Lonchura striata: one gene and its partners. The protein of the gene in region 3 purifies or fractionates together with the protein of the main gene of each other region. This does not show direct contact. Links are inferred from orthologs where the notes say so. Each region holds a gene or a part of one and is shown on either strand. Other genes may lie near its edges. The genes, in order: SENP7, EHMT2, CBX5 and ADNP.

What was found.
Region 1: the proteins of CBX5 (region 3) and SENP7 purify together in Homo sapiens (affinity purification with mass spectrometry; 3 studies listed by BioGRID and IntAct, with this or other methods). This does not show direct contact. The link is inferred for Lonchura striata from reciprocal best matches to the Homo sapiens genes CBX5 and SENP7.
Region 2: the proteins of CBX5 (region 3) and EHMT2 purify together in Homo sapiens (affinity purification with mass spectrometry; 3 studies listed by BioGRID and IntAct, with this or other methods). This does not show direct contact. The link is inferred for Lonchura striata from reciprocal best matches to the Homo sapiens genes CBX5 and EHMT2.
Region 4: the proteins of CBX5 (region 3) and ADNP purify together in Homo sapiens (affinity purification with mass spectrometry; 4 studies listed by BioGRID and IntAct, with this or other methods). This does not show direct contact. The link is inferred for Lonchura striata from reciprocal best matches to the Homo sapiens genes CBX5 and ADNP.

The regions. Positions count from the first base shown.
Region 1 is NC_134604.1:696,197-703,114, reverse strand, and holds the start of SENP7 (sentrin-specific protease 7), read left to right. Parts: upstream 1-3,910; 5' UTR 3,911-4,064; intron 4,065-5,732; 5' UTR 5,733-5,743; coding exon 5,744-5,779; intron 5,780-6,918. Other genes in the region: putative protein ARB2BP, read right to left, coding at 645-1,700, 3,057-3,083. UniProt on the Homo sapiens protein: Protease that acts as a positive regulator of the cGAS-STING pathway by catalyzing desumoylation of CGAS. Desumoylation of CGAS promotes DNA-binding activity of CGAS, subsequent oligomerization and activation.
Region 2 is NC_134631.1:100,635-107,923, forward strand, and holds the start of EHMT2 (histone-lysine N-methyltransferase EHMT2), read left to right. Parts: upstream 1-4,275; coding exon 4,276-4,299; intron 4,300-4,485; coding exon 4,486-4,531; intron 4,532-5,327; coding exon 5,328-5,514; intron 5,515-6,226; coding exon 6,227-6,530; intron 6,531-6,653; coding exon 6,654-6,732; intron 6,733-7,046; coding exon 7,047-7,135; intron 7,136-7,289. UniProt on the Homo sapiens protein: Histone methyltransferase that specifically mono- and dimethylates 'Lys-9' of histone H3 (H3K9me1 and H3K9me2, respectively) in euchromatin.
Region 3 is NC_134629.1:8,441,674-8,448,957, reverse strand, and holds the start of CBX5 (chromobox protein homolog 5), read left to right. Parts: upstream 1-4,281; 5' UTR 4,282-4,354; intron 4,355-4,474; exon of another isoform or gene 4,475-4,559; intron 4,560-7,204; 5' UTR 7,205-7,219; coding exon 7,220-7,284. Other genes in the region: HNRNPA1 (heterogeneous nuclear ribonucleoprotein A1), read right to left, coding at 18-164, 1,866-1,982, 3,796-3,810. UniProt on the Homo sapiens protein: Component of heterochromatin that recognizes and binds histone H3 tails methylated at 'Lys-9' (H3K9me), leading to epigenetic repression. In contrast, it is excluded from chromatin when 'Tyr-41' of histone H3 is phosphorylated (H3Y41ph).
Region 4 is NC_134619.1:1,236,165-1,243,918, reverse strand, and holds the start of ADNP (activity-dependent neuroprotector homeobox protein), read left to right. Parts: upstream 1-4,738; 5' UTR 4,739-4,791; intron 4,792-5,283; exon of another isoform or gene 5,284-5,423; intron 5,424-5,850; exon of another isoform or gene 5,851-6,033; intron 6,034-7,754.

The DNA of each region.
Region 1 (6,918 bases), on a different chromosome or scaffold from region 3:
TTGGTAACTGCAGGTTGCCAGACTAGTGTATCTCTGCAGCAGATCATGTCCAGTATTCTCACAGGCTCAGTGGGCTTTAAAATGGAAATTATTTTACTTGCATGTGCCCCTTTGGGGCACACCAACTCCGACTGGCGGGAATGTAGTAGTGTTTACTTCCCTGAAGCATTGTTCAGCTTAACAGTAAGTGTTTCAAGGAGGAAAGTAGATGTTCCAGCTCTTGGAAGATTTCAAACAGTACATGTTACATAGGAGCAAAGATTGGTTACACGTTTTGCTATTCCAGACTTGGCCTTCTAATGAAACTAAGCACTTAAGCAAATGTTTTCCTGATAGTTTAGTCTGATTATAGAGCCAAAACTATAGAATGTTTATTATAGAAAATGATAGATGAGAGCTTGTATACCTTTAAATCCTTAATTCAACTTTAAATTTCACAGCTAGCCAAAGGGTTGTGGCTTAAGGCTTTTAACAAGGCATATATTTCCTAATAGTTAGTGTTTTTCTTCTCAAAACCAAACATAGTTTCAAACTCAGAACACTGTGAATTTCTCCACAGTGAGATGAAGGTGCTTAAGTGATGGAAAGGAGCAGAAGCACTTATGAAAGGTAGAGACCACTATCAAGAACAAACCAGTGTACCTTTATTTATTGCCTGTCTTCTTTCTTGTGCTGCTTCTAGTTGCAGCGGGTGAATTCCTCAAGGCTGTTGCAATCTTGGCTTTCAGCATGGTTTTCAGGTACTTAAAGATGGATTGTAAGCAGCAGGAGGGTGCTAAACTATACTTTTCTGTTCCAGCAGAGAAAGTAGGACAATTTGCTCTCATGAGAAAGCGCACAGTTTTATTTAGGGGTTTACTGTTAGACGCCCATTCTTGGCAGTTTTTGTGTATCCATTCTTGTATTTCTGGATCGTGTCTGCTCTGGTGCTGCACGTTGTGCGTGGAGTCAATGAATGCCACACAATACACTTTATTCATCACCTCACATTTCCTCTGCACCAGCAGATCAACAAACACCAACCCCCCATAGCCATGGGCAATGAAGGCCACGTTCCTGGCTGCACTCTTTGCAATGAAATGATCCCATACATACACGGTATGCTCTTCAGGGCTGCTGCTGCCCCTTTTGGGGATCCAACAGGCAGACTGTGTAAAAGTAAGCGCTTCTTTCCTGGCAGCAAACCTCTTCTTTTCAGCGTTCAGATCAGTGAAATTGTCATTGGGGTTCAGTACAATCACTTCCCAGTGGTTTTGCAGGGCCATTTTGATGAATGGCATTTGTGTTCCATGTTTCAGGCCCTCACTGACAATTGCCCTTCGCCCCCACTGTCCAGCACAAAAAACTCCACGGTCTTGAAGAAGGATAATCAGGCTAGAGGAACTTGTTAGTGCATCCTTGCTCATGAAAAAGAAGCTTCTTGGCTCATCCTCTGTAGCATCAGTAGGAATGTAAACCTTGTGCAGCATGCAGACTCTTTCCAGGAGCTCATAAACATACTGAGTAATAAAATGTCCCAGAACTTCATAGCGTTTATGATTCTGCTCATGTTCATTCTTGTAGTAATTGAAAACAAAGGACTCGTTTGTATCCAGATGCCTCAGTTCCCCTTTTATATTGAAGTCGTAATTTAGTTCCTCTTGATACTCTGAACCCTCTGTTAGTTTCCTCAAACTGAGTTCACCTTGTATTTGTAACCACTACAAATTAAGAAGACTATTATGTCAAAGTAGTGATAGACCACCTGTCTACCCACCCTACCCCCATTAGAATTTAGATTTAAAAGCTGTTACAAATTAAATACTTGTTAATCCAGAGTATTTAATGGTGATGTATAGCAAACTAGCTGCTTCTAAAGCCCCTTAGAGATGTCAATTGTGAAGTTCCAACAGCAGTAACTCCTCTGCCTTTATTTCAGTTTGGTAGTTAAAAATTTCTAAGTAGCATGTTTATTTAAAGATCCGTTTAAGGTAGTTTGAATTAAAGACTTTAAGAAGGAGGCACATGTACATGGTTCACTGTTCACTTGAACAACTTTTATTGTGCTGTCTCCTAGCCATTATCTTGGAACTCCACTGAGTTTCAAGGCCACCTTTGAAATACAAGCCTAGGCAGTTGGAAATAGTCCAAGTGTCATAACTGGATCCCGAGTTTTTAAAGAAAATAAGCTGTGCTTACTAAGGACTTCAACCTTCCCATTGCTTGTGTACCAGCATACTCTCCATGTTCTTCTACCTTCAACTGCACTAGAACAGATATGTACATACATGTATGTGTTTGCTTTGTCTAATCTCTCTAGTTCGTCATTCATCCTTGCAAGCACTTGCCACATGGAAATAGAGGAATGGATGACAAAATAAACTAGCCACTGTGATCCAGGAGCAGGGAAAAAGAAAGTCCAGGCAGCAAACTATCAGGAGGTTGGACTGAGGTCTCCAATTTCAGATCATCTCTAATGATTGATATTAATTATACCAGAAAGTGATTTTTGTGCAGCTGAAAAATTAAGATTAGCAGAACCTTCTGTTTTCTGAGTGATTCCTCAATCTACTACTGACTGTCACTAGCTGTAGAACTGCAAATAAGGTATAACCTTTGGTATGGCCAGTATCCTACCTTTACAGGAGTTTAGTCCTAATGCAGTAATTTATTTTTTTCCTGTAAATTGTCTGAATCAAGTTATATTTGGCAAGTTAGACTGTATACCTTTTAAGTTTTTCTTGCTGTAATTCTGCATTCTAAATCAGCATTGATAGCTGTTTGTACTTCACTGTCTATATATAAATGCAATATTCAAGGCTGTATATGCTGGCAGCTGGTAGCAATTGCTACCTTATTTTTGAAAATTTGCTTTTGGGGGAAACATAATCCCTCTTTCCCTTCCTCCCACTTTTCTATTCAGAGCCTAAAATGCTTCAGATGTATATTCACCTGGTGCTTGTTGCAGCATTTGGCATATTCTAAACACTACTGCAGTATGAGTACTATGTAAGATCCATAAAGATTACTTTGTTTTCCATTTAAAACCATCTCATTCTAGTAAAGCCCAATATTACCGTATCTTCTTCTGTAAAATCTGTCATCATCATAAATGGAAATCTTCTTCACTCTGGGAGTGTAGACAAGTTCTCTGCATGAAAAAAATAAACCCGATCATGGTTTTAATTTTCATTACTTTATGTACTGGGGCGTGTACCTACAAAACCTGTCAGTAGCTGGTAGTTCGTGGCTACCTAAAGCGCTCCAGATAGTTCCAAGTTACAAACTCACCTCTCTCGTTTGTAATTCACACCTGACAGTAAACTAAGGCTAAACCTCGAGTATGAAACTCAACATTTGCCCACACCAGTTTTAATTCCCACGACTAAGAAGAAAACAAAGCTGAAAGCGGCACACAAAACTTACAATTCTGAAGCTGTCCTGAGGGGAAAAAAAAAACAAAAACAAAAAAAAAAAAAAAAAAAAAAAACCAAAAAAAAACAAAAAAAAAAACCCAAAAAAACCAACAGCCACCAATTCTCGTCTCCCCTTAGCCGCATAGGGTTTCTAAGGCCGGCCGGGCAATGAGGGCGCTCCGGGACGGGCCTGGCTGTCCGCCGGGCAAGCGGCATCAGCAGGGCACGGTTCAAACCTGGGCCGGGCCCGGTTCAAACCTGGGCCGGGCACGGTTCAAACCTGGGCCGGGCACGGTTCAAACCTGGGCCGGGCACGGGTCAAACCTGGGCCGGGCACGGTTCAAACCTGGGCCGGGCACGGTTCAAACCTGGGCCGGGCACGGTTCAAACCTGGGCCGGGCCCGGTTCAAACCTGGGCCGGGCACGGGTCAAACCTGGGCCGGGCACGGTTCAAACCTGGGCCGGGCCCGGCTCACGGCTGCTTCCTGCCGAGCACGGCGGTTCCGCCGCTTCTTCGCTGCCTCTCAGCCACTCGGCCCGGCACCGAGCGCGCCCCGAGCGGGTTAAAGCTCGGAGGCCCGAGGGGCGGCGCCCGGCCCGGAAGTGCCGGGGGAAGCTGCGCGGCGGCCCGGTACGGCCCGGTACGGCCCGGTACGGCAAACAGCTCCGGTACGGCCCGGTAAACAGCTCGGGGGTGCGGTGAGTGCTTGTGCCGGCCCCGGCCCGGTACACAGCTCCGGGGTGCGGTGAGTGCTTGTGCCGGTACACGGCTCCGGTACACGGCTCCGGTACGGCCCGGTAAACAGCTCTGGGGTGCGGTGAGTGCTTGTGCCGGTACACGGCTCCGGTACACAGCTCGGGGTGCGGTGAGTGCTTGTGCCGGCCCCGGCCCGGTACGCGGCTCCGGCGGTGCGGTGCGTGTTGGTGCTACCGCCGGGTACGCGGCTCCGGCGGTGAGTGCCGGCTCCGGTACCGGCTCCGGTACACGGCTCCGGTACCGGCTCCGGCACACGGCTCCGGTACCGGCTCCGGCACACGGCTCCGGCACACGGCTCCGGTACCGGCTCCGGTACCGGCTCCGGTACACGGCTCCGGTACCGGCTCCGGTACACGGCTCCGGTACCGGCTCCGGCACACGGCTCCGGTACCGGCTCCGGCACACGGCTCCGGTACACGGCTCCGGTACACGGCTCCGGTACACGGCTCCGGTACACGGCTGTGCTTTTTTATTCCTTTTCACGCTCTAGTGAGACAGAGTGAAAATTTACCAGGGTAGAAATCCATTTGGATTTAAGTGAAATGTGCCACTTTGAGCTTGCTAACATAAGTGAAATACGCTGTTTAGTCTAGTAACTACAGCACTAGCAAAACTACCCCAGCTAAGGAGAAAGAATGCAAATTTCTACACTAAAAGATAAGAGATAAGAAAGACTCCTCAGACCTTGAAACAGACAGCGCAGTGACCCAGGAGTTCTTTCTGTACTTTCTGACAAAAACTGAATACAAGTGTAACTAGCTGTAAGTGTGACTTGAAATTAGCAGAATGAATATGCGTGAACCTATTGTGAAATTCTATGCATATGGAAATTAATAAGGGTAATAAAAAAGGATCGGGAGTTCTCAGAGGTGCACATGTCCATTGAAGGGCAATGAGTCCCCACATGGTCCAGCGCTGTGAATAAACAAACAACCCATTCCATATAAATCTTTATTGGAATTGTGGGGTTTGATTTTTCATCTGCGTTTCACTAGTTTAAGTGTGAACTGCTTATTAGTTGTGTGCTTACAGCAAGGAGTTAATCAGTAAATATCTTAGCTAAGGATAAATTCTAGGACAATTTCATTAACAATTTAGTCTGTGCTGACAATCCAGAGCCTTGCCCAGGTGTGTGTCTATCTTGTATTGTGGCTGTCAATTACTTTTTACCAAGGCCTGTAGTGATGGGGCAAGAGGGGATGGTTATAAATTGAAAGAGGGTAGGTGTAGACTGGACACGAGGAAGAAGTATTTTTTTACAATGAGAATAGTGAGACTGGAACAGGTTGCCCAGAGAAGCAGTGGATGCCCCATCCCTGGGAGTGTTCAAAGTCAGGTTGAATAGTTTTAAGCAAAGTTGAAAGATGTCCCTGCCCATGACAGGATGGCTGAACTATAATATAAAATCTTTTAAACTCCCTATCCAACCCAAGCCATGTTATGATGTTGTTCTTTTGTTCTAGATTGCTCAAAAATTTTCTTATTCTTTCTTAGTGCTTGCTGCTGTGGTTCTACTTCCCTCTTAATAAACTAGAAATTCTTAAATTTCTTTTTTTTTTCTCTTTGTATTTTTTTTCCAGTAGAGAAAACCATGTCAGGACGAACATCAACCTCAAGTCATGTCAGTGTAAGTGTTCCTGAAATTGTCAACATTTTATTTTGAGGCTGTAGGTATCCTAGGGTGTTCTAATTAATTCTTCACTTTGTTGGAACATGCTTTCTTGACAAACTGTTTATTGTGGTAGCAGTCAATACTAATGTCTACTGTTGTACACTTATTAATACGTTATAGGCTTAGCATTTGATTAGGTATAAACAGGGTATTTTCAAAGTTATTTTAAGACCTAGGAATTTTAGAGTAATTTTAAGTAAATAGAAAACAGCTGCAAAACTGTGTAAAACTTTATCTGCAGAGCTGTACTCAGAGGCTTCTTATGCTAGTGTGTGTTTTTTCCTAAAATATCCCTATTAGAAGCAGTTTCTAGCAGTGGGAGTACTGGTGAGAACAGATGGTGGACAAAGGAACTGGTGTGATTGGGTGAGGTCCAGGGGACATAGTGGTTTAAAAATTAGCTTTTTTAATTTCCAGCACTGTGTTTATGCACTTTCTCTGGCCCTTGCTTCTACAGGTGGGAACCTTCAGGAAAGTATTGCTGCTTTAGATGAGTCTGCTGAGTGCCTACGCACATGTATGTGTAGAGTTAGTCACTTTTTATTTGGGAAAAGCTGAGGCAACTGCATACCTTGTGTTTAGCATAGATTCAGACCTCTCTTTGCCTGTTGACTTTGTGCTTGCTCTGTAAGTTAGTTGTGGGTGCTGTAAACCAGCGTCTTCTTAATGAGTGCAAGCATTGGGAAGATGCTGTGTGGTGAGCTGGAAATGTTGCTGGTTTATGTATGTTGTGCTTTTTATCCCTTTCTGTCAGTTGTCTCTTCTTTTTACTGAGTCTGACTTTATCTGTACTTAATGTTGTCTGTTATGTCATTACAGAGGTTATCAGAACCTCTTTAATTTTAAATGCATGTTAAAATTCTAGATAATTGTATGTTCTTTGGACTGTCAAAACATAAGCTGCTAGTCAGGCAGCAGGTGGAGGTCTGAAGTAAGAGATCTGTTCCTAGCCATTACAGTGCAGATCAGAAATAGGCATTCTGACTGATGTGTTTATAGGCCACTTCTAAAACAAAACCAACCAAACAAATTGGAAACAATTTACTTGTAGAAGTTCTTGAATAAAAAAAATGTTGTTTCAATCCTTCTGTGTT
Region 2 (7,289 bases), on a different chromosome or scaffold from region 3:
TCCCAGTCCCTCCCAGTCCGTCCCAGTCCCCATAACTTGGCTCCCAGTCACTCCCAGTTCACTCTCAGTCTCTCCCAGTACCTCCCAGTGCCCATAACTTCCCCCCCAGTCCCCCCCAGTCCCCCCAGTCCACTCCCAGTCCCTCCCAGTCCCGCCAGCCCCCCAGCCCCGCCGGCGCCATGTCGTCGTGCGCCGAGGTGCTCCGTTTCCAGCTGCCGGGCCACGAGGCGGCGGCGCTGCGCTCGATGACGCGGCTGCGGGCGGAGGAGCGCTTCTGTGACGTCACCATCGTGGCGCGCAGCCTGCGCTTCCGCGGCCACCGCGTCATCCTGGCCGCCTGCTCGCCCTTCCTGCGCGACCAGTTCCTGCTGAACCCGGCGGCCGAGCTGCGCGTCTCGCTGGCCCACAGCGCCCGCGTGCTGGCCGACCTGCTGCTCTCCTGCTACACGGGCGCGCTGGAGTTTGCCGGCCCGCGACCTCGTCAACTACCTGACGGCCGCCAGCTACCTGCAGATGGAGCACGTGGTGGAGCGCTGCCGCGGCGCGCTGGCGCGCTTCATCCAGCCCGCGCCCGCCGCGCCCGCGCCGCCGCCCAAGCCCGAGGAGGACGAGGACGAGGAGGACGAGGAGGACGCGGCGGGCGACGTCTGCATCGTCAAGGTGGAGCCGGCCACGCGGCGCCGCGGGCGCAGGTGGCCGGCGGTGACGGGCGGCGAGGCGGCGCAGAGCGGCGCGGCGGCGGCGGCGGACGGCGGCGCGGCGCGGCTCGGCGTGGTCAAGGCGTGTTACAGCCTGGCCGAGGACGCCGAGGGGGAAGGTTTGGTCATCTTCCCCGGCGGCGGCGGCCGCGGGCGGCGCGGGCGGCGCCGAGGAACCGCCGGGCGGGCACGCCGGCGCCTCGGCGAGCGCCGCGGCCTCCGCGGCGGCACCGGCGGCACCGGCGGCGCCGGCGGCGGCGTCGCGGTGCGGGAAGTGCGGGGAGAGCTTCCAGGGCGTGGAGAAGCTGGTGTTTCACATGCGGGCGCAGCACTTCGTCTTCATGTGCCCGCGCTGCGGCAAGCAGTTCAACCACAGCAGCAACCTGAACCGGCACATGAACGTGCACCGCGGCGTCAAGTCGCACGGCTGCGGCGTCTGCGGCAAGAGCTTCACGCAGAAATCCACCCTGCACGACCACCTGAACCTGCACAGCGGCGCCCGGCCCTACCGCTGCTCCTACTGCGACGTGCGCTTCGCCCACAAGCCGGCCATCCGCCGGCACCTCAAGGAGCAGCACGGCAAAACCACGGCGCAGAACGTTCTGGAAGCCGGCGGCGCCGAGGGAGGGGTGCTGCTGCGGTGACGCGGGGCGGGGGAGGGCCCGGCGGGGTGGGGGGCGGGGGGCGGGGGGGGTTTGGGGGGTGCTGGGTCCTCTCCCGGGTGAGGAAGGGGGGAGGGGTGGGGGGAGGGGCGGTGAGGGGTGGGGGATGTGCAGGGAGTGACCGCTGCGGTGGTGGGAGTGACCACGGAGTGACCACTGAAGTGGTGGGGAGTGACCCCCCCAAAGTGGAGCAGAGTGACCCCAAAGTGGTGAAAAGTGACCCCAAAGTGGAGCAGAGTGACCCCAGAGTGGAGCAGAGTGACCCCAAAGTGGTGCAGAGTGACCCCAGAGTGGTGGGGAGTGACCACTGGACACTGGATCCCTGCTGGACACTGAGGGAGTGACCGCTGGGGTGGTGGGAAGGAAGTGGGAGTGACCACAGAGTGACCACCGAAGTGGTGGGGAGTGACCCCAAAGTGGTGCAGAGTGACCCAAAGTGATGAAAAGTGACCCCAAAGTGGTGAAAAGTGACCCCAAAGTGGTGCAGAGTGACCCCAAAGTGGTGCAGAGTGACCCCAGAGTGGTGGGGAGTGACCACTGGACACTGGATCCCTGCTGGACACTGAGGGAGTGACCACTGGGGTGGTGGCAAGGAGGCCACAGTGGTCAGGAATGACCCCAAAGTGACCCCAGAGTGGTGGGGAGTGACCACTGGACATTTGATCCCTGCTGGACACTGAGCTGGTGACCGCTGGGGTGGTGGCAAGGAGGTCAGAGTGACCATGGAGTGACCACCAAAGTGGTGGGGAGTGACCCCCAAAGTGACCCCAGAGTGGTTGGGATTGACCACCGGACACCTGGACCCTGCTGGACATTGAGAGTGACCACCGGGGTGACGGTGGCGACCTCAGAGTGACCCCCAAAGTGACCCCCAAAGTGACCCCTGGACATGTGGACACCGTGACCCCGAGTGGGTGACCCCCGGGGTGATGGCAACGAGCCCAGAGTGACCAGAGTGACCACGGAGTGACCAGAGAGTGACCAGAGAGTGATCACAGAGTGACCAGAGTGACCACGGAGTGACCAGAGAGTGACCAGAGAGTGATCACAGAGTGAGCAGAGTGACCACGGAGTGACCAGAGAGTGACCAGAGAGTGATCACAGAGTGACCAGAGTAACCATGGAGTGACCAGAGAGTGACCAGAGAGTGATCACAGAGTGAGCAGAGTGACCACAGAGTGACCAGAGAGTGACCACAGAGTGACCATGGAGTGACCACGGAGTGACCCCTGGACACCCAAATCCTTCCTGGAACAAAGTGGGGAGACCCAAAATGGGGAGGAACAATGACAAAATCAGGGAAATGACCCCAAAATGAGGAGGAATGACCCCAAAATGGGGAGAAAGGACCCCAAAATATGGGGAAAGAACCCAAAATGGTGAGGAAGAGCCCCTGGGTGACAAATTTTGGGGTTCCTGGGCCACCTGAGTGACAAATTTTGGGGTCCCCATTGAAAATCCAGCTGGAAAAAACAGGGAAAAAACCCAAAACCGGCAAAATTTTGGGGATTTTGGGCAAAATGAGCTGAATAAGGCTGATTTTTTTGGGGGCATCCCCCCAAATTTGGCCTCTCTGGGTAAATTCCGGGGCTCTCAAGGTCTCGGGGGATTTTTGGGGGGTCCCCCTTGATGTTTTAGGGATTCCTCCCAGATTTTTGGGGACTCCCCTGATTTTTTTGGGGATTCCCCCAGATTTTTTGGGGGGTTTTGTAGATTTTAGGATTTGGGGACCCCCTTAGGTTGTAGTGAGGGGTGGGGGAGGGGAAGTTTTTGGGGGTGGGGGAGGGATTTGGGGTGGGGGAGGTGACCCCAAAATTGGGGTTTTTTGGCGGGGGGTTTAGGGGGTAGAAAGGAGAATTTTGGGTCCCTTTTGGGGGATTTTGGGGGGGGGGGTGAGACCCGTTTTGGGGTGGGGGAGGGGCGTGGGACCCCTCCCCCAACCCCGGAGGTTTTTTTTGAATTTTTTTTTTTTTGTAATAAATGGATTTTGAAAAAAATTTTAAAAATGGGTTTTTAGTTGTTTTTTGGGATTTGTTCATTTATTTTTGGGGAATTCATTTTTTGTGGGGGTTTCTTTATTTAATTTTGGGATGTATTAATTTATTTGCAATTTATTTTGGGGGAATTACTAATTTTTGTAGGAGTTATTTATTTTTTAGGGTTTTTTTTCTTTTGCATTTATTTTTTGGGATTCATTTTGGGAAGATTTATGAATTTAATTTTTTTGGATTTATAAATTTGTATGGGACTTACTTTGGGGAATTTATTTTTTGGCATTTATTAATTTTTAGAGATTGGTTAATTTTTGGGATTTATTAATTTTTAAGGATTAATGACTTTGACATTTGATTAATTTTTAAAATTTAGTTGTTTTTGGAGGATTTTTTCCATTTTTGGGCATTCATTAATACAACTTTGGGGGTTTATTAATTTATTTGGGATTTATACATTTTTGGGGGGGTTTATTATATTTTAGAATGTACTAGTTTTTGGGGATTGGTTAGCTTTTATTGATTCATTAAATTTCTGGGATTTTTTTGGGCAATTTCTGAATTTTTATGAGTTTTTCACTTTTTCGAATTCATTAATTTTTGTCCTTTCCTCATTTTCGCGGATTTATTCGTTTTCAGCGCCATTTTTTGAGCCCTTTCGGGACAATTTGGGGGGTCCCGAACCACCAGGACCCCCCAAAATTCACATGGGCGTGGCCTAAACACAAAGAGGCGTGGCTTAAGGCAGTGGGCGTGGCTTAAAACGAGGGGAGTGGCTTGGCTCGGTGGGCGTGGCTCACAGCGAGGGGGCGTGGCTTCGCTCGGTAGGCGTGGCCAATCCGGCAACACAAAGCCCGCGCGGTGGGCGTGGCTTCGCCCATAAAAGGCGCTACGCGCTGCGTGCTGACGTCACCGCGCGCGGCGATGGAGGCGGCGGGAGGCGCCGAGGTCTGAGGGGAGGCCGAGCCGGGGCCGCTCTTTGGGGCGTTTTCGGGCGGTTTGGGGTTTTTTTTGGGGGGTTTTGAGAGGTTTTGGGCATTCGGGCGGTGGCTGTGAGCGGGGGGAGGGGCGGGGTCCGCTGGGGGGAGGGGCGCGCCCCTCACGGCGCTCTCTGCCCCTCCCCCTCCCCCTCAGGACCCTCCCGGCGGGACCCTCGTGGTGGAGGCGGCGGGAGAGGCCGGTGAGTGACCCCCCCCAAATTCTTATTCGCACTTTGGTCTCCACTGAGACCCCCCTGAGATCCCCCTCAGATCTGCCTCAGGATCCCCAAAATTCCAATCAGGATCCCAAAATTCCAATCAGGATCCCCAAAATCTCCTCAGGATCCCCAAAATTCCAATCAGGATCCCAAAATTCCAATCAGGATCCCCAAAATCCCCTCAGGGTCCCTCAAAATCCTCTCAGGATCCCCCAAAATCCCCTCAGGACCCCCCAAAATCCCCTCAGGATCCCCAAAATCCCCTTAGGGCCCCCCAAAATCCCCTCAGGTTCCCCAAAATTCCCCTCAGGATCCCCAAAATCCCCTCAGGATCCCCAAAATCCCCCTCAGGATCCCCAAAATCCCCTCAGGACCCCCCAAAATCCCCTCAGGATCCCCAAAATCCCCTTAGGACCCCCCAAAATCCCCTCAGGATCCCCAAATTCCCCTCAGGATCCCCAAAATCCCCTCAGGATCCCCAAAATCCCCCTCAGGATCCCCAAAATCCCCTCAGGACCCCCCAAAATCCCCTCAGGACCCCCCCAAATCCCCTCAGGATCCCCAAAATCCCCTTAGGACCCCCCAAAATCCCCTCAGGATCCCCAAAATCCCCTCAGGATCCCCAAAATTCCCCTCAGGACCCCCCAAAATCCCCCTCAGGACCCCCCAAAATCCCCCTCAAGACCCCCCGAAATCCCCTCATGACCCCCCGAAATTCCGCCCAGACCCCCCCAAAATGCCCCAAACCCCCCCTGACCCCCCTTTTCTCCCCCCCCAGGGCTCCCCCCGGGCAGCCCCTCCCCCTGTGACCCTCCCCCCCCCGGCGGGACCCCCCCCACAGCCGGGGGGGCCCCCCCGGACGAGGAGGGGCCGGGGGGGGGCGGCCCCAGCGATGGGGAGGGGGCGCAGGGGACCCCCCCCGGGGGCGGCAGCGGCTCCAAGGGGCTGCCAGGTGAGGAGGGGGCGTCTGGGGGGGATTTTGGGGGGGCTGGGGGGATCTGGGGTGGGTTTTGGGGGGTCTGGGATGGGTTTTGGGCGAGTCTGGGGCAGTTTTGGGGGGTCTGGGGCAGTTTTGGGGGGTCTGGGATGGGTTTTGGGGGAACTGGGATGGGTTTTGGGGGGTCTGGGGTGGGTTTTGGGGGGTCTGGGGTGCGTTTTGGGTGGTCTGGGGCAGTTTTGGGGGGTGTCTGGGGATTTTGGGGGTCTGGGGCAGTTTTGGGGGGTGTCTGGGGATTTTGGGTGGTCTGGGGGCGCTTTGAGGAGGTTCTGGTGGGGTCTGGCAGGATCTTGGGGACCTGGGGTTTTTTGGGGGATCTAGGGGGGTTTGGGGGTTTTTGGGGAGGGTCTGGGGGGTTTGAGGGGGTCTGGGATGGATTTTGGGGGGTCTGGGGCAATTTTGGGGTGGGTCTGGGGATTCTTGGGGGGATTTGGGGGGTTTGGGGGTGCTTTGGGGGGTTTGAGGGGGGTCTGGGATGGATTTGGGGGGATCTGGGAGGATTTTGGGGGGGTTGGTGACATTTTGGGGGGGGTCTTCATGGCTTCTGGGGTGTCTGGAGGAGATTTTGGGGGGATCTGTTAAATTTTGTGGTGGGGGGAAATCAAATTTGGTTTTTAAATCAACCTGGGGCTGTCTCTGAGCTATTTTTGGGGGGGGTCTCCCCTTTTTCTTGCCCTCAGGCCACGCCACCAAGACCCTGCCGGGCTCCCCGATTTTGGGGGGCGATTTTGGGGGTTCTCCTCCCACCCCCTGCCCCCCCCCAGCCGTGCCAAAATGTCCCTGACGGGGGCGGGGGGCGGCAAAACCCCCCCGGGCCAAAGCCTGGCCCTGCGCCTGCTCAGCCTGCCGGGCTCGGGGGGTCCCGGGGGTCGCCCCCCACCCCGGAGCCCCCCCAGAACCCCCCGGAGCCCCCCCCAGAACCCCCCCGAGCCCCCCAAAATTCACCGAGCTCGCAAAACCATGGCCAAGCCCAGCAACGGACAGGTACGGGCTGGCTCTGGGGGGGTTCTGGGCAGGGGGTGTCAGGGGTTTGGGGGGGTCTGGGGGGTCTGGGGGTTTTGGGGGACCCCCGCTGAGGGTTTGGGGGTGTTTTTTGCCCCCCTCCAGGTGCCCGAGAAGCCGAGGATGTCGGAGATGCTGCACTTCAGGGTGTCCGAGGAGCTCTGCGGGATGGGGCAGCACCACGGTCTGGGGGGGTTTGGGGGAATTTGGGGGGGTCCTGGAGGGGATTTGGGGGGTCTTGAGGAGGTTTGGGGAGTCCTTGCGGGGTTTGAGGGGTGTTGGGGAGGTCCTGGGTGGGTTTGGGGGGTCCTGGGGAGTCCTGGAGGGGTTTGGGAGTGTCCTGGGGAGGTTTTGGGGGGTCTTGGGGAGGTTTGGGGGGTGTTGGGGGATCCTGGGGGGTTTGGGGTGGTTCTGGAAGGGTCTGGGGGTTCAGATTTGGATCTGGGGGTTCAGATTTGAGTCTGGGGTCTCCCTGACCCTCTCTCTTTGCCCCCCCAGACACCCCCAAACGCCCCAAGCTGGATTTTGGCTCCGAGGGGCTCCACAAGCGGCTGCAGCAGCGCCCCAGCCCCCGCGCCAGCACCGAGGTACCCAAAAATCCCCCAAAATCCCCCAAATCCCCCCAAAATCACCCCCAGGGACCCTGCAGCGCCCCAGCCCCTGCACCAGCACCGAGGTACCCAAAACCCCCCAAAATCCCCCCAAAACCACCCCAAAAACCATCCAGGACCCCCGCAAATC
Region 3 (7,284 bases):
TCCCCAGTGTCCCTCACCTCTCTGGACACGGCCCGTTTGGGCTCCACCACCCTGCCGTCCACCTTGTGTGGCCGCGCGTTCATGGCGGCGTCCACCTCCTCCACCGACGAGTAGGTGACGAAGCCGAAGCCCCGCGAGCGCTTCGTGTTGGGGTCCCGCATCACCTGGGGACACGGGGACACTGAGGGGACAGACACAGGGACACGAGGACAGACACAGGGACACGGGGACACGGGCAGGGATGTGACAAACCCAAACGCCCACGAGCGTTTTGTGTCTGGGGTCCTGTCTCACCTGGGGACAGGGACACAGGGGACAGGGCAGGGACACACGGGACACACACGCAGGTGACACAGGTGACACACGGATCATACGCAGGGAAAGGGACACACGGGACACACACACAGGTGACACAGGTGACACACGGATCATACGCAGGGAAAGGGACACACGGGACACACACGCAGGTGACACAGGTGAGAACACACACACGCAAAGGGTCACACACAGGTCACACACAGAGAAAGGGACACACATGTGGCACACACAGGTGAGAGGACACATGCAAGTGACAGGTGAAAGGTCACACACGTCACACACAAAGAAATACACAGGTGACACGTGAAGGGTCACACGGAGGTCACGCACACAAAAAGGGACACACAGGTGACACACACAGGTGACACACACAGGTGGCACACACAGGTGAGGGGTCACACACACTCGGGGGGCTGTGGCACCCAGGGGCGCAGTCTGGAGGTGCCAGAGGGTGGCCTGGGTTCAGGGGGTCCCAGGGCTGGTTTTGGGGTCCCAGGGCTGATTTTAAAGGTCCCAGGTCAGTTTTGGTGCCCCAGGGCTGGTTTTGGGGTCCCAGGGCTGATTTTAAAGGTCCCAGGTCGGTTTTGGTGCCCCAGGGCTGGTTTTGGGGTCCCAGGGCTGATTTTAAAGGTCCCAGATCAGTTTTGGTGCCCCAGGGCTGGTTTTGGGGTCCCAGGGCTGATTTTAAAGGTCCCAGGTCAGTTTTGGTGCCCCAGGGTTGGTTTTGGTGCTCCAGGGCTGGTTTTGGGGTCCCAGGGCTGATTTCAGGGACCCCAGGGAGGGATTTGAGGATCCCAGGGCCATTTTTGTCATCCCAGCTCCATTTTTAGGGATCCCATGACGTTTTTAAGGGTCTCAGGGCCATTTTCAGGGATCCCAGGGCTGGTTTTAGGGATCACAGTGCCCTTTTAGTGACCCCAGCTCTACTCCAGGAGATCTCAGTCCCATTTCAGGGACCTCAGCTCCATTTTTGGGGACCCCAGCCCTGTTTTTCCTGCTCTCAGTGCCGTTTCCAGGGCCCCCAGCCCCATTTCAGGGCCCCCAGCCCCATTTCAGAGGCCCCCAGCCCCATTTTCCTGTTCTCAGTGCTGTTTCCAGGGCCCCCAGCACCATTTCAGAGGCCCCCAGCCCCATTTTTTTGCTCTCAGTGCCGTTTCCAGGGCCCCCAGCCCCATTTTCCAGCTCTCAGTGCTGTTTCCAGGGCCCCCAGCCCCATTTCAGGCCCCCAGCCCCATTTCAGACGGCCCCCAGCCCTGTTTTTCCTGCTCTCAGTGCCATTTCCAGGGCCCCCAGCCCCATTTTCCTGCTCTCAGTGCCGTTTCCAGGGCCCCCAGCCCCATTTTCCTGCTCTCAGTGCCGTTTCCAGGGCCCCCAGCCCCATTTCAGGCCCCCAGCCCCATTTCAGACGGCCCCCAGCCCCGTTTTTCCTGCTGTCAGTGCCGTTTCCAGGGCCCGCAGCCCCATTTCAGGGCCCCCAGCCCCGTTTTTCCTGCAGTCAGTGCCGTTTCCAGGGCCCCCAGCCCCATTTCAGGCCCCCTGCCCCTCACCACGCAGTCGGTGAGCGTGCCCCACTGCTCGAAGTGGCTGCGCAGGCTCTCGTCCGTGGTCTCGAAGCTCAGGCCCCCGATGAAAAGCTTCCGGAGCTGCTCCGGCTCCTTCGGGGACTGCGGGGGGACGGGCTCAGGGCACCCCGGAACCCCACGGAGGGGGTGGGAAGCCCAAATACCCCCTAAACACCCCCAAAATCCCCCCTAAAACACCCCCTAAACCTCCCCTAAAACACCCCTTAAAACACTCCCAAATCCCCCCTAAAACTCCCCCTAAAACACCCCCAAAACACCCCTTACAACACCCCAAAAATCCCCCCTAAAACACCCCCTAAACCTTCCCTAAAACACTCCTTAAAACACCCCTTAAAACACCCCAAAAATCCCCCCTAAAACACCCCCAAAACCCCCACACTCAGCTCACAGGGGCCTGACACCCCGAAACCCCCTCACACAGTTCCTGTTGGGGGATGAGGACCCCCAAAACCTCCTCACCCAGCTCTGGGGAGGCTGGGGAACCCCAAAACCCCCTCAAAACCCCCTCACCCAGCTCCCGGGGGGACTGACAACCCAAAATCCCTAATGGGACCCCTCCAGTGCTCCTCACACCCCAAAATCCCTCTTGGGACCCCCGTCCCATCCCAAAATCCCTCCTGAACTCCCCCTCACACCCCAAAATGTCCCCCCAAAGCTCCAGAGAGATCCTGACACCCCCAAATCGCCCCTGGGACCCCAAAAAAACCCAACTGGGACCCTCCCCTCCCAAGCAGCTCCTGACACCCCAAACCCACCCCCAACAAATCCCCCCCCAGCCCCCTGGGGACCCTCCCTGACCTCCCCCATCCCCAATTTTTGGGGCCACCTGAACCTTGAGCATCCCCAGTTCCCATCTGGGGGGGCCACCAGACCCCCAAACCCCCCCAACCCAAATTTCTCAATGTCCCAGGCCCCCAAATCTCTCCCCCAACCTCCATTTTTTGGGCCTACCATCACCCTCACCGCCGCCAGCCCCTATTTCTGACCCCCCACCCCCCCAAACCCCCCAGCTTTCATTTTAAACCCCCCCAAGCCCCCACATCCCCAATTCCAACACCCCCAACCCCAAAATCCCAACTCCAGGCCCCCAAATCTCTCCCTCAACCCCCATTTTTGGGGCCTACCAGCCCCCTCACCGCCCCCAGCCCCTTCAGGGCCCCCAGCCCTATTCCGACCCCCCACCCCCCCAGTTTTAATATTAAACCCCACAAAGGCCCCACACCCCAAATTCCAACACCCCCAACCCCAAATTTTGGGGCCTACCAGCACCCTCAGCCCCCTCAGCGCCCCCAGCCCCTATTCCTGACCCCCCTCCCCTAATTTTGCCCCCCCCAACCCTAAACTCCAACTCCCCCACCCCCCCAGCTTTAATTTCAAGCCCAAATTCCAACACCCCCCCATCCCCTTCTTTCCCCCCCCCGTTATTCCTGAGACCCCCCCCCCCCGTGACACAAAGCGCGCGCACGTGGCCGCGGGAGCGCGCGCGGGGTGAGGGGGGGTCGCGCATGCGCCTGAGGGGGGCGAAATCTGTGGGACCCCCCCCCGAAAATGGACCTTGGGGGGGGGGGGGGAGGGGCTCTGTGGGACCCCCCCCAAAAATGGAACCTGAGGGGGGAGGGGAGGGGAAGGGGGAGGGGAAGGGGGAGGGGAGGGGGGGCTCTGTGTGTGACCCCCCCCACACACAATGGCGCCTGCGCGGCTGAGGGGATGAGGGGGGGGCGCCGCGCGCAGGCGCAGTGAGGTCCCGCGGCCCGCCAGGCGGCGGCGGCGGCGGCGGGGGCGGGGGGGAGGGAACGGGGATGGGTTAAAAAAAAAAACAACAAAAAAAAAAAAAAAAAAAACAAACAACGGGGCGCGCGGATCGGCGGGGAGCGGGGCGGGCGCCGCTGCTGACCTCGGCCTTGGCCATGGCGGCGGCGCGGGGCGGTGGCGGCGGCGCGCGATGCTCCCTCTGCGAGGGCCGACACGGAAAGGGGCCGAGCGCCGCGAGCGCCGCCGCCTCACCCCGCCGCCCCCGCCGCCCGCGCGGCCCCCGCGCCGCCGCCCATTGGCTGCCGCCTCACAACGCCGCCGCCCCATTGGCCGCCTCGCCGCGCTCCGCCCCCCGCGCCGCCGCTGATTGGCTGCGCGCCGAAACGTCCCGCCCCTGCGCCGCGGGGATTGGGGAGAAGCGCTGCCGACACGCCCCGCGTGGCTTTTCCCGCTCCGGCCCGGAGACTCCCCGGCGCGCCGCTGGTTGGTTGGAAAGAAACAGGGCCCGCCCCTCGCCAGGCGCTCATTGGCTGGGAGAGCGGGGGGACGGTGCCCATTGGCGGGCGCGGCCGTCCATCAGCGCCGGCGGCGGCGGGCCCAGCGCAGCTCGGCGAGCGCGGCGCGGCGGGCGCAGAGCGGGGAGGCGGCGGCGACTCCCGGCGGCGGCGGCGAGCAGAGGCCGCCCGCCCGCCGGCCCCAAGGTGCGGCCGCGGCAGCGCATGCGCCCATCGCGGTGGGCTTTGGGGAGAGGGGGGGGAAAAGGCGGGCGGACGCATGCGCGGAGCGCCGCCGGCGGCGCCTGCGCGCTGCGGGCGGTTTTGGCGGGCGGAGCGCGGAGCGGCGGCGGCTCGGAGGGGCGGCCAGACCGCGGCGGACGGGCCCGCGCCGGAGCCGCTCTCCGCGCAGGTAGCGCCGGCGGCGGGCGGCGGATGGACGGGCGGCAGCGCGGGGGCGGGCCCGCCGCCGTGACGGGCAGGCGCGGCGGCCAATGGGTGCGGGCGGGAGGCGGGGCCTCGCGGGGAGTGGCGGGCGCGGTGTTGAATAGCAGCGAGCGGGAGGCGGGGCGGCGAGCCGAGTGACAGGCGCGCTGACCTATAGCGGCGCAGGGCAGGCGGGGCGGCGCTCGGAGTGACGGTTCCGCCGCCCAATAGTCGCGCGGCGGGGCCGCGGCGCGCGGTGGGGCGCGCTGCCAATCAGGGCGCGGCGCGCGGCGGCTCTGACCAATGGCGTGCGGCGGCGCGCTGCTGGCCCCGCCCCCAGGCCCGGCGGCCGGGCCCCTCAGCTCGGGGCGCTCCGAGCCCAAATCTGCGGCTTTTCACCCCAAAACCGCGGCCTGGGCCCTCGGGGCGTCGCGCCCCGCCCCGCAGCGGCGGCTTTCCCCTCACAGCCGCGGCCTCGGCCCCGGCCAGGCGCTCCCGGGCCTCCGCGTGCCGCCCTCCCTTTGTTCCCGCAGCATTCCCGGGCGCGGATTTTCCCAAAATTGGCCTTTTCCCACCCAAAGCGGCGCCTTCTCCCTCAGGAGCCCGCCCGGAACCCCGCCGGGAGCCCGGCAGGAAATTCCGGCCGGGAGCGAGGGATTCCCCTCGGGCTGTGTGTAAAGGGAGAAATCCGCTCAAATCCTGCCCTAAGGGGGGAGAAAAAACAGATTTGAGGGCTTTTAAAGCGTCTTTTTTTTTTTTTTTCTTTTTTTTAATCTTGATTTTTAAGGGGTTTAGCCCAAATTCCATTTCTCTGCTCCCAAATCCCCCTTCAGTTTTTGGGGATTTATTCCAAATTCCGTTTCGCTCTGCCTGAATTCTCTGGGTTTTGCGTTGTTTTTTTTTTTAGGAGATTTTAGCCCAAATCACGTTTCTTTGTGCCTAAATCCCCGCTGGGTTTTTAGGAATCAGCCCCTCCTGTGCCTCCCCCTTGGGGTCTCACTTTGAGGATCCTGAGGTGACCCCAGATCCCTCTTGGGGATCCCAAAATTACCCCAGATCCCTTTTGGGGATCCCAAAATTACCCCAGATCCCTTTTGGGCGTCCCTAAATTATCCCAAATCCCTCTTGGGGATCCCAAAATTACCCCAAATTTCTTTTGGGGTCCCAAAGGAACCCCAAATCACTCTTGGGGATCCCAAAATAATTTAAATCCCTCTTGGGGATTACCCCAAATCCCTTTTGTGGGACCCAAAATTATCCCAAATCCCTCTTGGGGATCCCGAAATGACCTCAGATCCCTCTTGGGGCTCCCAAAATGATCCCAAATCCCTTTTGTGGGATCCAAAATGATCCCAGATCCCTCTTAGGGATCCCAAAATTACCCCAAATCCCTTTTGGGGATCCCCAGGATGTCCCGAAATCCCTCCTGGGGATCCCCAGGTGTCCCCAAATCTGGTGACATTCCTATCCGTGCCCCCAGAGCAGTGGCAGGAGGGGCCCTGTGTGACATTCCCTGACCCATGGTGACAATCCCTGTGCCCTGGTGACATCCCTGTCCCTGTCCCCAGAGCGGTGGCTGCGCTATGGGCAGGAGGAGCAGGGCAGTGCCACGTCCCACGGTGACATTCCCTGACCCATGGTGACACTCTCTGACCCATGGTGACACTCCTGTCCCTGTCCCTGTCCCCAGAGCGGTGGCTGCGCCATGGGCAGGAGGAGCAGGGCAGTGCCACGTCCCATGGTGACATTCCCTGACCCATGGTGACACTGTCCCTGTCCCCAGAGCGGTGGCTGCGCCATGGGCAGGAGGAGCCGCCGGAGCAGTGCCACGTCCCATGGTGACACTCATGGTGACACTGTCCCTGTCCCCAGAGCGGTGGCTGCGCTATGGGCAGGAGGAGCAGGGCAGTGTCACGTCCCACGGTGACATTCCCTGAGCCACGGTGACACTCCTGTCACTGTCCCTGTCCCTGTCCCCAGAGCGGTGGCTGCGCCATGGGCAGGAGGAGCTGCCGGAGCAGTGCCACGTCCCATGGTGACATTCCCTGACCCATGGTGACACTCATGGTGACACTGTCCCTGTCCCCAGAGCGGTGGCTGCGCTATGGGCAGGAGGAGCAGGGCAGTGCCACGTCCCACGGTGACATTCCCTGACCCATGGTGACACTCCTGTCACTGTCCCTGTCCCTGTCCCCAGAGCGGTGGCTGCGCTATGGGCAGGAGGAGCTGCCGGAGCAGTGCCACGTCCCATGGTGACATTCCCTGAGCCATGGTGACACTCATGGTGACACTGTCCCCTGTCCCTGTCCCCAGAGCGGTGGCTGTGCCATGGGCAGGAGGAGCAGGGCAGTGCCACGTCCCATGGTGACATTCCCTGAGCCATGGTGACACTCCTGTCACTGTCCCTGTCCCTGTCCCCAGAGCGGTGGCTGTGCCATGGGCAGGAGGAGCAGGGCAGTGCCACGTCCCATGGTGACATTCCCTGAGCCATGGTGACACTCCTGTCACTGTCCCTGTCCCCAGAGCGGTGGCTGCGCCATGGGCAGGAGGAGCAGGGCAGTGCCACGTCCCACGGTGACATTCCCTGAGCCACGGTGACACTCCTGTCACTGTCCCTGTCCCTGTCCCCAGAGCGGTGGCTGCGCTATGGGCAGGAGGAGCCGCCGGGCCGCCGACAGCTCGTCCTCGGGGGAGGAGGAGGAGTATGTGGT
Region 4 (7,754 bases), on a different chromosome or scaffold from region 3:
TCTCTTTGGTGAGGATTTTTCTGCTCTGAGGTTCAGGGGAGTTGGCTTCTCTTTTGCTTTGGGTTTTTGACAAAATCTGAGACTTTAACCTCAGCCTGCAACAAAGATGAACCTCGCTGCCAATATAAACACTCTAATCAAACAGATCTTCCAGTGGACTGTGCAGAAATCCAACTGCAAGGCTCCACAACCTTCTGCACATCAACAGTAAAAAATAATGATGACTAATCAATAATATTTATTCGAGGGTCTATCAGTACAAGCCTGGATTGGAATCTTGGCAGAAATGAATTCAGTGACAGATTGCCTGCTGAGTTCAGTGCAGGGATGACTTCAGCCACACATTTCAGTGGCTGGCATTCCAGAGCTCAGGCAAATGCTGATACCAGGAGCAGCAGGAGCAGGGGGTGTGCAGGGGACAGGACTGCTCATCAAACTCTTCCTTGCTTTAGAACTTGTTTATTACCTCCCCTGTGCCATGCTGCAGGAGACATGGGCAAAGAAAGAAACTAGTGCCAAGCACAGCAACTTTGAGCATCATCTCCTCCTCTGTTCCTGCCATGTTGTACCCCTCTCTCCAGGCATTGTGGCAATTAAAAACTTTCTTATAGACTGGTTGTCACTGTTCAGGGGAAAATATATTGGAACCAGAGAGAGAAAAATTAATTACACCGTTTAATCCAAAACTAGATCTGAAAACTTAGCCATTGAGAGGGATTTCAACAAAGCAGACAGCATAAAATGGGAAGTTATTCCTGCAAGGTGGTGGCACTGGCTGTTCAACAGAAACTGGCACCAATGCTGGCAGGTGTCTGATCAGCACAGGAGCTGGGTGGCTTAGTGGGTCTTAAAGATCATTGTGAGACCAGTGGTCCTAATGCTGATTAACTTACTTGTATTTATTATATAATTAATTATGTTGTGTGTAAAAGCATCAATAGTCATCTTAATTATTTTGTATTTGAATAAAACCCAAGCATGACACTGAGCTAGTAGTAGGATGAATCTGGGCACAGTTTTGACCTGAAGCAGCAGCACAACGCATGTGCAATTAAAGCTATTCAGCTTGGGAGTGCTAATTGCCTCCCCTCTGGTGTGAAGTGTTTCGTCTCTTACAATGCAGTGATTTTACTGATTTTTCCAGTGGCTGTATTGTTAGAAACAATACCCACTTCTGCAATAGAAAAAGTAGATTAAGACTATTAGCATCAACTTCTGTTTCATTTTGTTCACTCTGTACACACAGGAGAAAAATGATGTCAAAACTCCTTTTCTCCTTCTTCTGCACTGCTTGAATTTTAGCTTTACTATCAATCTTTCCACACAAACTTTGTAAATTCTCATCTTTCTTCCCCAAATCCCTGTTGACAGCTGTCACACTTCAAACCACCACAAGAACCCTCCTGAGCTGAATGAGAACAAGATCTTGTCCATCACTCATGACTGCTTTCACACCCTCTCATCCTTCCCCCATTTTCTCAGCCCTGTCACTGTAGATTTTACCCCGAGGCAGGCAGTGGCTCCCTTCTGCTCCAGCTTCTGCTGCCACATCTCCTTTCCCTCCCTTTCTCTCCCCTACCCTAAAATCAGAGGGGTGCCTGCAGCACCCCTCTGATGCACTGAATATTTCTGCCTCCTGACACTCTCCTTTCTATCTGGGTCTAATTTCATCCCCTCCCATGCCAAATTCCAGTTTCTACACTCTTCACAAATGTTTTTCCACACTGTAATCATGGACTGAGTACCAACATCATGGCTGGGAGTGTTCCCAGCTGAAACTCCTTGATATTACTGCTCTGGGGAAACTCTATCCACCTCTATTTCCATCCCAACCTTATCTTACCTTGTCTTCTGGTAAGTACATACAGCAAGACACAAATTTACTCAGATACCTTCACTTGCTCCCAGAATTCAGGGCAGGGAATGATGCCCAACAGCCTGTTCAGCTCTCCTGTCTGAATTGCAGGTCTCTGTGTTTGAGCTGTTGTGTCCTTTGCACAGATCTTTGTGTTGTGCTCACTCCTGTAAATATCTCTCAAATATCATTTCTATCTCCAGCTGCATTATCACATCCCACTTACACTCGGTTCCTCCAACCTTCAGACACTTCTGCTTACTCAAATCCAGCCCTTAGAGCAGGTCTGTGGGTTGTTCTTCTGGAGCTGGTGTATTTTTTATCTTAAGTGATGGCTAAAAAGTGGCCAGTGGTAAGGCACAAATTAAATAGTGTTCGTATAGGAAGGTGCTCAGGTGTGGGGCTGTGTATTTTAGGCAGGAGCAGACTGGCTCAAGCAGCCATGAAGTTAATTGAGAGTTTCTGAGTATGGTCCTGCCTTAGTGACGTTTCAGAATGTTCCCCAACATGCTTCAATAACATGCTTCAACAATTGTGCCATCAGAGAAAAATAATCGACTCTTGGAAGGCAAAATGATGTTATTATAGGAAAACCAAACCAGCTCTTTTTGCTTTCCTTCCTTGAGACAGATTCCACACAAGTCTCAGGGAACTCTCAAAGTACCTCAGTTCTAGGGGCTCTTTAACACCAAAGCACTAGCTTTGGTTTCCAAGTTTTGTGTATTTCCTGGGTTTTTAATTTACATTTCCATGTAAAAAGATTTTGTGACTTCCCGACTTCTTATGACCACTGATGTGAAGATGCCATGGGAGCAGCCAGTGAAACCCAGGTTGACTTGCAGCCACAAGCAGGGGATTTCTATGTCCCACTGAGTCAGAAAGTCTCAAAGCAGCCTCAGAGACAGAACAAAACATCACTAAATTCTTCATAAACGCTACTTCAGTGAATTGTGATAAACAGCATGTACAGATTGTCAGGACACCAGTCACCTGTAAATGCAGGAGATCCTTAAGTTACATGAAGTCTAAAGAACTGGTGACAACTTTGCTTCTGCACTTCAAGCAAGGAGTCAAATTTCCTTTCTAGCATTGTGAGCTTAAACTCCAACGTGTCACTGAACCAGAAAGGGTGTGAACACTGAGGATGGAGGGAATTACACTTTACTTCCTCCTCCAAGTGTTTGTGTCTTTCTGAAGTAACAAAAGCCATCCATTCCTGTCACTCCTAGAAGGGTTTTTAGAAATCATCCTCATTTGTTAAAGAGACCTTGAACAGCGTCAGGATCCACAAGGAAGACTCACATGTGGGCTCTTGTCCTGATCCAACATTCCTGCTGCAAATGGGATGTCCAGGGGCATCCACAGGTGTGTGTGACCACACGTGCACAGGGCTCACCAGAAAGATCACAGTCCCGCCTTTGGGCGCTGGCTCGTTCTCAGGGTGTTAACCCAAAGTCTGAAGGGACATGGAGGGATTCCTGGGGTTGTCCTGTGCAGGACCAGGAGCTGGACTCAACAGTCCTGGTGAGCGCCTTCCAGCTCAGCATATCCTATGGTTCTGTGATGAATTTGGATTTCAGAGCATGTAGAGCACATAGCTCGTGTCGCCTCACGGTGCCACCGTCCCAGCCCATGGCAACTTTGCCAAAGGGTGTCCCAGTGAGGCTGCCCTGGCCGAGCTGCGATGGGCACAACCCCAGAGCCAGTCCAGCTGGCAGGGACACAGTGGCTCAGCCGGTGCCACCTCCCTGCTCCAGCAGGGCCACCCCAGAGCCCGTGGCACAGGCCTGTGTCCAGACTGCTCTGCAATCAGACCCCAGAGCCTCTCTGGCCTCTGCTCAGGGCTGGCACTGCCCAGGGCAGTTCTGCCTCCTGGGCAGGGGAACTGCTGGGCTCAGGCCCTGCCCTGGCTCTGGTGCCACGGCTGGGCCCCGGAGCAGAGCCCGGGCCTGCTCTGCCCTCCGGCACCCGGGGACAGCCAGGGCGGAGCCCCCTCTCACTGGGGCTCGCGTCCAGGCTGGGCACCCCCAGCTCGCTCGGCCTTTCCTGGGCACGGAGACGCTCCAGGCCCTTCAGCATCCTCGCAGCCCCGGGCAGATGGACACGGCAGGACCACCGGACACCGGGGCCGGGCCGGTCGCCGCCCTGAGGCGCCGCCGCCGCACGAGCCCCGCGCGCGCTCCCGGGGCCGCCCCGCGGTCACGTGCGCGTCCCCGCGCTCGCGGGCCCCGCCCCGCTCGCGCCCCCGCCCCGGCGGCGGCGGCGGCGGCCCCTCAGGACGGGATGTAGTCCCGGCCGGGGGCGCGGCGGAGGGATCCCCGCGCCGGACCCAGGCGCAGGGCGCGGCGCCTCCTAGCGGGGCCGGGGTAGATCCCGCCGCCGCCGCTGCCGCCGCCGCCTCCGCCGCCATGGCCGCGGCCGGCCCGGTGCGCCCCGCGGGGGCCCCCCAGGGGCGGGGTCGCGTCCCCGCCCGGTGCGGCGGGCGCGGCGGGGCCGGTCCCGCGGGGACCCCCGGGGCTCCCCCGCCCCCCCCCCCCGGGGCGCGGCCCCCTCCCCTCCCGCCGGACAATGAGTCCCGTATGCTAATGAGGGTCTGGCGTCACTTCCGCTCTTTCTCGGCCGCCATCTTGGCCCGGGCAGGCTGTGGGCAGCGGGACCCGGCTGTATTGTCTGAGGGGCCCGGGCGCTGCCCCCGCCCGCGCCCCCGCCCCGGCCACCCGGCCCAGTCACCGCCGCCCCCGCCCCCGGGGCCGCTCCGCACCGCCCGCCCCGCACACTGCACCCCCTCCCCCGTCATCTCCCCCTTTGTCTCCCCCGCGCCGCCGGCGGCTCCGCTCCGCCCGCCCGCCCCGGGACCGGGCGGCGCCGGGGAGGGTCCGGCGCCCCCCCGCCCCCCCCGCCCCAGCCCGCCCTCGCTGCGAGGAGAGCCCGCTCAGGTAGGTGCGAGCGCGGGTCCGCGGTGCGACCCGGGCGGGGACAGCGCCCGACCGCCCCCTCCCTCCTTCCCTCCCTCCCGCGGGCATCCCGCGCCGTGCCCGCCGCCCTGCCCGCCGCACCGGGCGTGCGGAGCTGGCAGCGGCCCCTCCCCGCCCGCACACACGTTGAGGAGCCCCGGCGGTGCGGGCACCGCGGCGCTGCTCCCTGCCCGCCGCCGGCCCCGGCCGCCTCCCTTCCCCGCACGGACGCGTCCCGGCAGCCCGAGGGAGCGGGACCGCCAGCCGCCGGCCGCGTCCGGCATCCCTGGGTGCAGCTGCACCGGGCCCCGGCGGCGGAGTTGGTGCTGGAGCGGCGCCGGGGATGCGATGAATGGGAGCAGCCGAGGGGTCCCTGCCCGCGGGAAAAGGCGGGACCCGCCGCTGCCATCCCGAGGCGCAGCTGCGGCACGGAGCGCCGTTACCTCACCCATCCGTGCCCCGGGCTACGCTTACCGACACCCGTTTGCGAGACAAAGGCGGGGGACGCCAAACTCGGAGCTTCGCGGCCGCACCGGGCAGATGCCCCCGTGCCACGCACCCCCTTCCCGGGCGGCTGCGGCCCGGGCGGGGGCTCCGAAGCAAGTGGCAGTGCGTGCGCGGTGCCGGGGTGCCGGCGCACCCCCGGTGCCCCGGCAGCGGCCGCGGGCGTGACGCCGCGGCCCCCCCGAACCGGAGCGCGCCCGGCGGGGCGCTGCGCGGCGGCAGCCGGCAGGGGGCGCCCTGCGCGCCGGGCCCGCCGCGGCGGGGGAGGGGAGCGCTCCGGGGGCACCGGGGCGCGGGCCGGGCTCGGGGCTGGCCCGGCTCTGCGCACGTGGCCGCAGCCCCCGGGAGCGGCGAGCCTCGACCGCGGGGCACAGCCCCGTCACCGCTGGTCTTGGTGGTCCTTGTTCCTTGGGTGTGTTCAAGCCGTTTTGTAGGTGTCAAAGAGGTTTGCGTCCTCTCCTTTTCATTAAGTTAAGGGTTTTTTCCCTAGCTATGTTTCTGTTTATTTTTGCTGGTATTTCCTGTTTCTGTCTGGAGGTGTGAGGTAACGGAGACAGAGGATTCCCGCCCGTCAGGGTAGCGTGGACCGACCTTAGCTGGCTGCTGTGCAGCTCAGCCTTGTGTGCCTCAGCAGTGCTCCCTCCTGCAGGGTCTCCTACTCGGGAAAACTTTCACTTCAGGACTCTGCAAACTCATAATCACAAGCTGTCATCCCTCTAGGTGAGAAAGATGGATCAGTCTGCTTAAGAAACAGAAAAGCCTTTTTTTCCTGCTTTTAGTAACAAACCAAACCAAAGCTTGGTTCCTTTGCAGATGTGCAGTTGCAGATGTTGGGCAGTAATTTGATATCAGCAGATGGACATTACCATGATATGTGCTGAAATCTTAAAAGAGACAACAGACCAGAAACACCCTGTTGTTAAGAGAATTGCACCAGATGCTGATGGGTTGTAACATAATGGTTACCTTTTCTGAAGACTGTCACAGCAAATACTTCCAATTTCAGTCTAAATAGAGATGTCCTTTTTGACACACAACAAATAATTTGTTCTCCAAAATTGATACCAAGCTGGATGGTTTTGCACTATTTTTGGTGGTTAGCTGCCCTTTGCTCAAATTAGCATTATTTCTTAGTTAGCATTCAAGAGTGACTTTTTGGTATCCAGCAGACATGAGATGCTCCCAGGGGATGTCTCTGAGATCATTGAAAACTGATACCGTTTTAGTGCCCCATTACTAAAACTAATTTTTTTTTGTTTTGAATTGAAGTCCATCAGGCAGGTTTGTAGGAGGCATCTCTTTAGGTTACCACTATTTATGCTTCAGGGTGTATTGTCATGAAGAGCCTGCGGTTCACTTGTGTTGGGCTGTGGGAGGTAGGTGCTGTTGGATGTGCAGGGGAAGGTGAAAGGCTCCTCCTTTGCCTGTAGGTGAGACAGACCCAGTGCCACACTTGGGAGTGAAAAGCCTTCACAGGAGAGGAAGACCGAAGAGGAACTCCTGACTGTCTTGGAAAGTTCATGCCCTGCAGTGTTAAGCACCAGCTGCACAAACACAGCGCCCAGGAAGGTGTTTGTGCTCCTCAGGCTGAGAGGAGGAACGTGATGGATTTTCTGTGTGTAGGGCAGAAGGTACCAGTGGTCAGAAGTGCTTGCTGACACTGACACAGAGGTCCCTGTCCTTGCCACAGCGTGTGGGTTAAGTGTAAACTCTCACTTAACTCTTACTTAACTCTCACTTGGTGGTGCTGCCCAGATCCCTGCGCTGTTCTGAGCACCGTGAGCTGTAGGGAAATGCAGGACACGTCTTCTGGGGCAGCTGGGTTGTGCTGCTCACACGCTGCAGGTGAATAATGGCTCATTAGTCCCAGCTCAGCTTTGCCACTCTGTAATAACATAAATACTGAAAGTAAACATTGAAGTTTACAGTGGAATTCCTGGAATACAGAAACATACCAGGATCTTATCAGTAGTCATAAGTTATATGGTCTGAGTGTATATTTTATAGCTTGTTATTAAGACAGCAGCTGATTTGATTGATGCAAAGAAAGAAGTTGAAACAAGTGATTTTATGAAAGAAAAGATGGTGCTCCTGGGTTAATGTGTTTGTTTTAAGGTAGCTGCAAATAACATTTAGCAACTTAATAGGAGATGTGTTGGGTGCTTTTTGTGGGGTTTTATCTCCAGAAAGGGAAAGTCATCTTTGCTCTACTACTTGAGATGTTTAAGGGAAACAAAATTCTGCTGGGAATGACCAAAGCAGTATCAGACCTGAGAAGGACCAGTTTAAAGACTGTAGGAGAGGTGCCAGGAGAGGCAGGGAACAGCTCTGGGGCTGAGCTGCCCACTGTGTTGTTTCACAGGTGCCATTGGAGCTGCTCTACCTGCATGGGCAAAATGGACACATTTTTAAAAGTCATTAGTGCAGCTGAGTTTGTATAT